3 linked regions of the Oryctolagus cuniculus genome follow. The protein of the gene in region 2 interacts with the protein of the main gene of each other region in a pairwise test. Links are inferred from orthologs where the notes say so. Each region holds a gene or a part of one and is shown on either strand. Other genes may lie near its edges.

Region 1 (3,646 bases), on a different chromosome or scaffold from region 2:
CATCTCCAAGGTGTAAGATATTCTTGGCCTTGTGCCCTCACAGACTGTACACAGACAACCAACCAGGGACTCCCTCAACTTCCCCATCTACTCCTGGTTCCTAGCACCTGCCCCTACCAGTCCCCAGATGAACCGGCTAACCAATTAGGAGGCTACTCGATCTTCGGCCAGACCTTGCTGTGAACACAGCCACATGTGGCTGGATCGTGGGGACTGGTTCTGGGAGACGCACTGGCAGGTGACTGTGTCCTCGTGCGAGTGTTGCGGAGCGTGCTCGCACAAGCACTGCCTACTGCAGCTATGTCACAAACTCGCACGGCGACTTAGTCTAGGCAACTGGAGCTCGGTGGGGAGTGTCTGTATCTAACACGGAACGGGACCGAGCAGATATGGTTCCACGCCGCCCGTGCAGGGCGCTGACCGGGCGTGCAGCTCACAGGGCCTGGAGCTGCTCTGCTTGGGTCCACGAGTGAGTGGGGAGTGACCGGGAAGGCCCAGGACATTGCTGTCCGCCACTGCGGACTTTGTAAACACCGCACGCTCAGCCTACACTGCATTTATTTTTCAAGATTTGTGGATTTTTGTTTGTTTGTTTACTTGAAAGGCAGAGTGACAGACAAAGAGGGAGATACACAGACAGAGACATCTCCCTTCTGCTGGTTCACTCCCCTAAATAGCTGCAAAGGCTGGGGCTGGGCCAGGCTGAAGCCAGGAACTGGGAGATGTATCCACATCTCCTATGTGGGTGGCAGAGGCCAAGTACTGACCCGAAGTGGGGCACCTGGGACTCAAACCGGCACTCCGACATGGGACACAGGTATCACAAGTGGTGGCATAACACACTCAGCCCCCTCTCCACTGAGCTTATAAAAAAATGTATTCTTTCTTCAATAATAAATTAATCTTAGCTTATTGTAACTCTTGTGCCGTATAAACTTTAAAAAAGAAGTTTTTGGACTCTTGCAGTAACATTTAGCTTAAAATACAAACACAGGGGACTGAACTTTCTGGCTCTGTGATCAGCTCGCAGGACCAGCATGGGCTTTATGGCCTGCTGGTGACAGATGTTGATGTGTATGTATGGCCACTGGCCTTTACAGGTGTGGCGTGGCCACGTGTCTGCCCGCCAGCACTGACTCTGTGCACCCGGGAGGCTGAGTGCCCGATTGGGCTGGGACTACTCACCATGCAGGCGGCCTGCACCGCTTCAGACACGTGCCCGGCGTTGGGCTCGCACCAGAATACGTGGCACTCGAAGCGCTGGCTGCCAGTGTCCATGATGAAGGCAAATGTGTGGATGTCCTTGCCCACGCCCATGAAGGACAGGAACCGCACGCGACACTCCACCAAGATCTCCTCTTCGCTCTGCAAGAGACACCGTTCAGTGCCCCGGGGTCCCTGGGAAGCCGGGCAGCAGTCCCCACGAACGGGTGGGTCAGCAACAGAGCGGCAGCACACGACAACTGCCCGACCAAACTCAGAAAGGACCTGGGTGTTTTCCAGGAAAGCAATACCTTGCCGGCTGCGTGGTCAGGCTGCCCAGCCGTGAGCGTCATCCTGGCTTTCCGTCTCTCGCTCTGAACACGCTGCAGTCATGGTGTGCCACGGGGCTGCCGAGTTTCCGTGTGGCAAACACACCTCTTACACACAGCCCCGGGCAGGTGCACAGCGAGCGGCTCAAGCCCTGTGTGAGTCCCCCATCCCCCTGCCCCAAGTAAAATATTCACTGTGTTTCTCTTCCTCTAGTCTCCCAACCCAAGCTAAACAAAGTCCCATTCAATCACATCCTACCGAAAACCAGGTCAAACGAAAAGTTGCCCAATCATGTTTTCCCTTTCTTGCAAATCAGTATCCACATGAAGTCGTGTGAACTGCTTGGAGAATTCAACCTTATGGTCATAAACATTACCTCTTCTGCACTGACCACATGCAATTAATTTATTTCAGAGGAAGAGAAGCAGAGGGAGAGACAGACAGCTCCAATTCACTGTATAACTCCCCAGATACCCACAATGGCTTCAGGCCAGGGGCCAGAGCTGGGAGCTGGGAGCTGGGAGCTGGGAGCTCAATCCAGGTCTCTCATGTGAGTAACAGGAACCCAATCACTTGAGCCACCAAGCCCGGGTCAGAAGTGGATGTGGGACGCAGGCCCAGGCTCTCTGATACGGGGATGTGAATGTCTTAGTGCCACAGCAGTCACCCCGAGATGCAAGGTTTGAATCAGTCGACACATCCAGAATGTTGACTTTCGGGCCATTATCATCTTGACCTATTGAGCTTTCACTTGGATTCTATTGGAGCGGTTAACAAACTATACTGCTCTAAGATATGAGGGCGTTTTCCTAAGGAGCTGAGATGGGGGTACGGTAGGGTGGCAAGGGGAGGAGCATGGCAGGCCCGGGTAGGAAGGGGCTGAAGGAACCGGCATGGCAGCCAGTGGGCGCCTGTGCTCTGCAGAGGGTGACCCGGGCGTGAAGGTGACCCGTGCAGGGACGACAGGGCAGGCCTTTCCACAATTGGGCTGGACAACTGTGTGGCACGGGCCAAGTTGCTTCACGTCTCTGGGCTTCCGCTTCCTCAGCCACAGCACTGGGCTAAGCTGGGCTGAGGCTGACACTGGCCTCTCCGCAGGACACTGACCCCTGCCGACAGCACCAAGGACCTTCCCTAGGGGATGCGACTTTGAGCCCTGACCCCAGGCGGCACAGCTAAGTCAGTGCTGAAGCACTAGCGAGGACTGGAACCCCAGCTCCCGGGGGAGCTCCAGTCAGCACCACTCAGTCACCCTGGGCACATGGCTCTGACCTCGGGGGCCCGTGGAGACGTCAGAATCAGAAGCACCAGAAGCCAAGTCTCTAAGCCCCAGGGAAGCACAGGGGCTCAGCTTTAGACCGAGAGAAAGGGCTAAAAATAAGACCATTTAATCACTTCATTTTAATCAGTTAATTGACCTGAGAGATAGACATGCATTAACACACACAGAGACAGAGAGAGAGAGACCGAGAGAGAGAGAGAGAGAGAGAGATCTTCCATCTGATATTTCACTCCCCCAAAACCCACAAGAGCCAGAGCTGGGCCGGGCCAAAGCCAGGAGCCTACGACAGGACTCCATGCAGGTCTCCTACAGGGGTGGCAGGAACCCAAGTATTTGAGCCATCACTGCTACCTCCCAGTGTCTGCATTAAGGAAGCTGGAAGGGAAGCGGGGTCAGGACTGCACCCGGGCACTGTGACATGGGACACAGGTGCACTGACTGGTGTCTTAACCGCTATGCCAAGCACCTGCCCTGAAGGCCATTTTAGTCCCAAGTAAACATGACTCCCAGGAGGGCAAGCCTTGAAAGCTCCCTTGCATCCAGTCCAAGGCCATCTGTGATTCCTGCTCACCTTCTCACTGATGACCGTCACAGTAGCATCAGCTACGTTCATGTTCACCGACGGCCATGCCTCCTTGTCGGACGAGGTCATGAGACTTTCTATGGCACTGTTCAGGGTATCCATGCCTGTGGACGGGAAGGATCATCACGAGAGCCCTAGAGCAATGCATCTCTCTCAAGTGCAGGGTCACCCCGCCCACAGTCTTATCTGGCCCAGTGGAAGGCCACGCCTCCCAGACTCCCTTCAGCGTGGCATGGCCAAGCCACTGG
Region 2 (3,646 bases):
GTCCGTGGGAGGAAGTTTGTCCACTTTCCCTAGGTGCTTGGGAGCTTGTCCCTGCCAGTTGATCAGCAGAGAAGCCATGCTAGGAGAGCCCCGTGGGGACCAGGCCGAGGTCAGGGCTGCATAGAATTCTGAAGACACGTGGTTCCATTTGCCCCTTCTTTCCATCATCAGCAAGAAGCAACTTCCTGCTTCTCTGTATCCCTGTGACTGCAGCAGATGCTTGGTTTTTGCCCTGAAAGCAAATGAAACCAGCATGGATCTTCAACATCCTCAAACTCACCAAGCAGAGCTTCTGCCTGCCTGTGGGGATGAAAGGCCACAGTGTGAAATCTGCCATCTCCACCATTTTCAAATTCAGTGGCTGCCGTGACACTGCTGTGCAGCCCGCACCACCTCCCTCTCCAGGATGCTGTGCCTGCTGCAGAACTGAAAGTCTGTGCAGTGAAGCAGTGACCCCATGTTCTGCCTCCTGGCCAGCTCCTGGCCTGGGTGGCCCCTTGCTGTCCTCTGTGAATTGATCCCTTGAGTGCCTCACATGCTGGAGCCACACAGCCCTTCTGTGACTGGCTTCATTTACTTAAGCGTGGTAGCTCCGCGATCGTCTGTTGTAGCGTGTGTTGGAATTTCCTTCTTGTAGCTGCATGAGTTTTCCCACCACGTTTTTGCCATGCTTGCTTTTTCCACCGATGGGTGCTTGAGTGACTCCCACCACCTGTCTGTTTCCACGATGCTGCTGTTAACATCCATGCTAAGCCCATGTTATAAACATTTTTGTCTACAAGAGTGACACTCCCTATGCTTGCAAGAAGCCAAAAGCTTCTTTCACAATGAACAATTTTATGTTCTTTGTGTGATCAAGGTTAGCATTTCCTCAGCCAGTTCACAGACAGTAGAAGGTTAAGTTGTGTACACTTATAAAAAAAAAAAATCAGACATAGGCAGGCAATGAAGCCAGTAGTGGTTTGTCATAGGCCAGACAAGAGAGCCCTCAGTGCCCACATCCTCCACAGCATGGATGTGGGGATTACCCATCCAGAAAACGTCAGCAAAGAAAGAGAGGTTCCTGCAGTAACAAGACTGAAATATTGCAAAGCTTTGAGCTGCAGTCCAATATGGAAGGACAGTCACATAGAATAAACATGGATAAGACAATAAGAAAGTTAAACTGGAAGTCCATAAAGAAGTGAGCTTTCATGCCAATAAGGGAAGAATTCATTATTCAACAAACTGTTCTGAAATGACTTAACTCTTAGGGCTTAGCCAGGCTGAAGCCAGGAACCAGGAACTCCATCTGTGCCTCCCATGTGCGTGGCAGGGACCCAAGTACTTGAGCCATCATCTGCGGCTTCCCAGGGTGCATTAGCAGGGAGCTGGAATCAGGAGCAGAGCGGGGACTCGAGTCTAGGCACACCAATGTGGGATGTGGTCACCCTAACCAGCATCCTAACTGCTAGGCCAAATATTTGCCCCAGAAATTTGGAAAAATATTGAAATATAGGGTAAAAAGTAAAAATAACATAATTTCATTATGTAATCAAAACCACTTTTAACACTTCTATGTATTATTTTTGCTTTCTCTGTTCCTCGTCACTTTTCTCTCCCCTTCTCTCTTCACAACCTGTAGCCCACACTGTCCGTGTGACGTTGGTCTTCCATCTTTGTGATTCTGTGGAGCACCAGCAATGCATTTCCTTCCTTTAGTCCTGGTGTGACTTTAAAATCAGTCACTCATGTTGGAGTGGTGTTCTGGTTCAGAATCCACTTGCCAATCATCTGCTTTTCCATTTGAAATCGGATTCTCCTGGTGACTAATTTCTTCCTGACTTGGAGACGCGGGGTTCCACAGGAAGCTGTGTCTATACAGGGAGTGAGCTCTGTGTGACTGGGCTCTTTAGAAAGACAAGTGTGACCAAGCTGCTGTTTCACCACTTTGGTCTTCAGATTTCTCCGTGCCAATAGAAACAAAACTAAGGAGATTAAAACCATGTTGCTGTGATGTAACTTGACCAACTTGACCAATTGCAAAGGTTTCCAGGTAGCAGTTTGTAAATCATCAGCTAAGGTTTGAGATAGCCCCAAAGTCACATCCACTGTTACCTTGTACAACCTTCATGCTCAGTCTATACTGCTCTGCTAGGGTCTGGTGATGGTTTTGATTTCATGTGGTGCTCCAAGTGCCTCAGACAGACTGCCCCACTGGGTCACTCAAGACTGGACACATCAAGGAAACCCTGGGTACATGGCAAGGGCCACTGATATGCTCAGCATGTGTGGGGCCACCAGAACATTCATTACCATAGCCTCAGCAAGGCAGGGGTCTGGACCTCGGAGTTCACATAGCCCCTGCCCGAGTGCCGAGCCAGTAACTGCCCCTGCCTCATTTTCCACACCTGGGAGGTAAATACGAGCAGCTGGTGGGTTGCCGGGAATCTGCAAGTCATCCTGTGACCAACCAGGCAGACATGCAGTCAGAGGCTGTGCCTCCTAGCTAGAACTGACTTAGGTCAGGTCTCCAGAAAAGGCGTCGTCAGCTTCTCATCATTCGTTCGCTTCTACCAGGTCAGACTGCCATTATCACTCCTGTGTTTCAGGCCAGAAGTGTGACCCAAGCTGTCCCAATGGAAGCTGCTGGGGCGCAGGCGGCGAGAACTGCCAGAGACGTAAGCTGGGTTAAGTCCCTGTGGGAGGGCGACCCCTCCCGCCTTGGCCTTAGGAGCAGGTGCACTGGCCTGCGAGACTGAGAGAGCTGTCCAAGCATGGGCCCAATGTTTGCTTCCTGCATGAAACTGCCAGGTCCCACAGCTCAGCCACGTGGCTCTCTGTGGTCTTTGCCTTGTGGAAGATAGTGAAACTCAGCTGTGGTCCTACTGCCATTTTTGGTGCCCTGAAAGCTGAGCACACTCCCTGGGCACAGGAGATGGCATTCGCAGGAGAGCCTGGCTTCCTGTCCCTCTCCCGGTCTTTGTGTGTCACCAGAACCCAGGATCAGTGGCATTTAGTGACTTCCAGGTCATTTTGAAGCACTCGGCACTCCTGAGAGAAGAGAAACCAGTGGGAAGCAGGGTGCAGTAGGAGTGTCCTGACCGTCTCAGCTTGGCTGAACGTGGCTGCCTGGGAGTTTGATGAGCCACAGATACTGTGTCCACAGATACTTGTCCACTGCGATGTGTAGACTCTCTGAGAAGTGACTGGTGCCCTCGCTCCGGGCTCACAGGTGACCTTTGCTCTTTTCCAGTGACCAAAATCATCTGCGCCCAGCAGTGCTCTGGACGCTGCCGCGGCAAGTCCCCCAGCGACTGCTGCCACAACCAGTGTGCTGCTGGCTGCACAGGCCCACGGGAGAGCGACTGCTTGGTGAGACCCAGCTTCCCCACCCGCCCCTCACTCCCCCACTCCTGCCCCACTGGAGCTCCTGGGAGAGTTTTTGTTCATGCTGCCTACAGCAGCCCCTCTGCCTGGTGGCAAAGCCCCTTCATATCCGGCCTCCACCACTCACTCTCTGACCTCTGCCTCAGCCTCCCCTGCAGTCTGTCCCAGACTGAGCACCAGCCATAAACACCTGTCTGTCATGAGCATTTCTTGCCCAACGGTGGGGCCATGACCCTGCTCACCACTTCCCTTAGTCCTGCTACAAACCTGGGGAGCA
Region 3 (3,746 bases), on a different chromosome or scaffold from region 2:
GGGGAGGGGGATAGCTTGAAGCGAGCCCCATCCCTGAAGCCACAACCCGCTGAGGCCCTTAAGCCCCCTCTGCTGCCCCTCACTCACCCCTGGACCCCCTGTGCCCCACCCTGAGGGGTCATCCCTGAACCTGACTCCCCCGTGTTGTGCCATGTCACCTCTATCTCTGCACCCCAAACTGCAATATTCATCCCTGACGCCCCCCTCAACCCCACACACCCCCTCCTGCCTACTCTGTGAGTCACAAGCCATACTGAGCCCCACACTGCACTCCCACCCCCACTCCACCAGGACCTCGCCCCTTGATGTACCTGGGCCATCTCACACCTGCCACCAGCCACCTGCCACCCCTGCCTCTCCTTTTCTCATGGCCGCTGGGACTACTTCCTCTGCAGCCCCCAGCCCCAGGCACTGCCCTCCCTCCCCGGCTCCCTGAAACTCTTGCTGGGCTGTGTGCACTGGGTGGTGCCTGCTCCATCAGCTCCCTGCTGGTGCCCACTGGGGCTGGCCCACTGCCCATGGGGGCCTGGCCGGGTCAGGATGCCCGGCAGCCGGCTGAGGCCATGGAGGGGCTGCCCGACTCACCACATCAGCCCACAGCAGGAGGGCAGTGTGCGCTCCCCCATCCCCTTGCCAGGGGCAGGGCCTGGCTGGGGTATAAATAGTCAGACCGCTGGGCTCTCCCCGCTCTTCCTCTCTCCCCAGCCCTCCTCCTCTGTGCTTCCTCTCTCGGCTTGGTGAGTTCTGTGGGCCTGACTGGCACGCGAGGGTGTCACGGGCTGAGGCTGGGTGGGGGAAGGACAGCCTGGTGGGGGCCAGATGTGCTGAATGGACCCAGATGCACAGGCTCTGGGGTGCATGGAAGAGAGAAAAGGCAAGAAGAAAAGTGTGCAGCAGCTGGGTTTGAGCGCCCCCTCCCCGCCCCAGCCCTTCTGAGAAACTGGGGCTTGTGCAGTGTGTGCCTGAGCTGGAGATGTGCACCCTGCTGCGGGGTTGCTGGGCTGCACAAGTGTGCACCCTCGGGTGCAGGAAGAAAGCAAAGGCAACCGAGGGCTTCCTCTGCTCCCGCTCTGTGAGCCCCTGCTCTGCACCCGGCAGCTCAGCCCGGCAGAGCCCTGGCCTCCCACCCAGCCCTGGCACCCCTGCCTCCGCCACCTCACCGGCCCCTCCCAATGACGGGCTGGGTGCCAGGCTGCCGGTTTTTTCCGCTGCAGGCCCCCATGCAGGCCTCTAGCTGCCGCGCCCAGCGCTGGGAGGGAGAAGAATGGGCTGGGGCGGCCGTTGTGGCTGAGCTGTGGGAGTGGACGGGTGAGGGAGGGGTGGAAGAACGCTGTTGTTGGGATGAGGCCTGCAGCCACCTCCGGAGCTTGCTGCCTGGCTCCCTGGAGCCCATGCCACGAACCCCACAAAAGTCCACGGTCCCAAGTATGCATTCCCCCCCCCCGCACCCCTCCCCACCAATAGCTGTGCCCGCCTCTCTGGGTGTCCCCGAGGGCCAGAGAAGTGTCATCAAGGGCCTCTTGAGGGATGGGAGTGCAGGCGGGCATTCGGAACACATGGCTGGGGAGCAGGGGAGGATAAGGGTGCCCGTGCCTCCCGCCCTCAGATCCTGACCGCTGCCATGGCGTGCCCCCTGGAGAAAGCCCTGGACGTGATGGTGGCCACCTTCCACAAGTACTCGGGGAAAGAGGGTGACAAGTTCAAGCTCAACAAGTCGGAGCTAAAGGAGCTGCTGACCCGGGAGCTGCCCAGCTTCTTGGGGGTGAGTGGGTCCCCTGGGAGCAAGCACCCTCCCCCATCCCCAGCCCCCAACCCCCTGCAGGGGAGGCGCAGGCTCTATGAGGCTGCAGGCTTTTTGTGGAATATCAGCTAAAGCTGGTGTTTCTGACTGTGTGGGGAAACTGGGGAGCAGGGAGCCTGCATGGGGTGCAAACACGGCCCCAGCAGAAAGAAGGCTGAGAGAGAACAGGGAGGTTAGGGGCCAGACCCTCTGTCAGGTGCTCTGTACATCTTAAGTGAAAGGGAAAAAAACAAAAACAAAAAACTCAGAGTTAAGTATTTCCCAAGGTAGTGCATGTACAAAACTGGTCTGGACTAAGACCGCCGACTGCCCATTCTTCACTCCAACAGTGAAGGGCTGGAGTTTCCATTTGGCTCATAGATGTGCAGACACAGGTATAGAGACTCAACACACCTAAGATGTCCCCCCCAACAACAGCGTCTACACCTGCATCAAGCAGTCCACCATTTACAAGAGGGTATTGCAAAAAGTTCATGGGAAGTGGCATGAAAAAGCAAGTTTATTTTGGTGCAAAATTTTGAAATCTATAGTTTTAAAAATAATACTCATTTTCATGAACCCTTTGGAGAGTCTTGGGAAGCATGGGTTTCAAACATTTTTGTACCAAAAGGAACTTATTTTTAAATTATATTTCCGGGGCTGGGCATGGTGGTACAGTAGGTTAAACTTCCGCCTGCAATGCTGGCATTCCATATGGGCCCCAGTTCAAGTCCCTGGTGCTTTGCTTCCAACCCAGCTCCCTGTTAATGTGCCGGGAAAGTGGCAGAAGTTGGCCCAGGTACTTGGTCCCTTGTCACCCACATGAAAGACCCAGATGGAGTTCCAGGCTCCTGACTGTGGCCTGTCCCAGCCTTGGCAGTTGAAGCCATCTGGGGAGTAAGCCGGCACATGGAAGAGCTCTCTCTGTCTCTCCCTCTATAACTATGCCTTTCAAATAAAAAAAAAAATTCTGTTTCCACAAACTTTCTGCAGTAGCTGGCATATGCTGTCATGATCATTACCTCACTGGATCATGAGGACAACCTCTAGGGAAGGCGTGTGGTCACTTCGTTTTGCACCTGCACCAGGTCCTCAGACGTCCCCATCCAAGGAGTACTCCCGTTGGCGCTGGTGTGGCCCTGAGGGTTGGGGTCCGAGGCTGGGCCCCCCACAGGAGAGCTGCAGGTGCCAAACTGGTCTAGCCCTGCTCTACCCCCGTGGCTTCTGCTTTCTCCCTCCAGAAAAGGACGGACGAAGCCGCGTTCCAGAAGCTGATGAGCAACTTGGACAGCAACAAGGACAACGAGGTGGACTTCCAGGAGTACTGCGTCTTCCTGTCCTGCATCGCCATGATGTGCAATGAGTTCTTCGAAGGTTTCCCTGATAAGCAGCCCCGGAAGAAGTGAAGGCTCCTCAGATGCCGCTGGGGGGCCCGCCCGCTGGGGTCTTCCCTGTCTGCAGTGGGCACAGCACCTTAGTCCCGCCCCTTGAGACATGTGCACCACGCTGAGCAACTTTAATAAAGAGTCTTAACACCTGTGAGGCTCTCAGTCTGTGACTCTGGGGGCGTGTGGGGTTGGGGGCTGAGGGATGTGTGTGTGGTGGTGGGGGGGGGTAGGGCTGGGGGTGCTGGGACTTGAGCTGCTGGGTTGCAGATCCCAGGAGTGAAGGCTGGGAGGGAGCAGGAGTGACTGAGGGTGTGTGTGTGTGTGTGTGCAGGCATGCGTGTGACCCAGAGGACAGGGGTGGGGCCCAGGCAGGGAAGGAGACCACCAGGGCTTGGAGGGCGGGGCTGTGGCACTGAGCCAGCCCACTCACCCTTTCCAGCTCCCACCAACCATGCCTCTGGCCAATCCCTGAACTGAGGTTACTACGATGGGAAGGTCACATCTGTTTCTAGTTGGGGTCTGGAGAGAAGAGAACGGAGCTGAGTCAGGCGGAGGGAGTAGCCAAGCCAGAGCAGCAG

The links.
Region 1: the proteins of EGFR (region 2) and APBB2 interact in binary tests that used the Homo sapiens proteins (3 or more experiments, as listed by UniProt). The link is inferred for Oryctolagus cuniculus from reciprocal best matches to the Homo sapiens genes EGFR and APBB2.
Region 3: the proteins of EGFR (region 2) and protein S100-A4 interact in binary tests that used the Homo sapiens proteins (3 or more experiments, as listed by UniProt). The link is inferred for Oryctolagus cuniculus from reciprocal best matches to the Homo sapiens genes EGFR and S100A4.

The regions. Positions count from the first base shown.
Region 1 is NC_091433.1:34,560,940-34,564,585, forward strand, and holds part of APBB2 (amyloid beta precursor protein binding family B member 2), read right to left. Parts: intron 3,503-3,646; coding exon 3,387-3,502; intron 1,366-3,386; coding exon 1,186-1,365; intron 1-1,185. UniProt on the Homo sapiens protein: Plays a role in the maintenance of lens transparency, and may also play a role in muscle cell strength. Involved in hippocampal neurite branching and neuromuscular junction formation, as a result plays a role in spatial memory functioning.
Region 2 is NC_091447.1:57,844,591-57,848,236, forward strand, and holds part of EGFR (epidermal growth factor receptor), read left to right. Parts: intron 1-2,591; coding exon 2,592-2,660; intron 2,661-3,235; coding exon 3,236-3,354; intron 3,355-3,646. UniProt on the Homo sapiens protein: Receptor tyrosine kinase binding ligands of the EGF family and activating several signaling cascades to convert extracellular cues into appropriate cellular responses.
Region 3 is NC_091438.1:44,755,269-44,759,014, forward strand, and holds protein S100-A4, read left to right. Parts: upstream 1-1,214; 5' UTR 1,215-1,341; coding exon 1,342-1,425; intron 1,426-1,606; coding exon 1,607-1,762; intron 1,763-3,021; coding exon 3,022-3,186; 3' UTR 3,187-3,317; downstream 3,318-3,746. UniProt on the Homo sapiens protein: Calcium-binding protein that plays a role in various cellular processes including motility, angiogenesis, cell differentiation, apoptosis, and autophagy.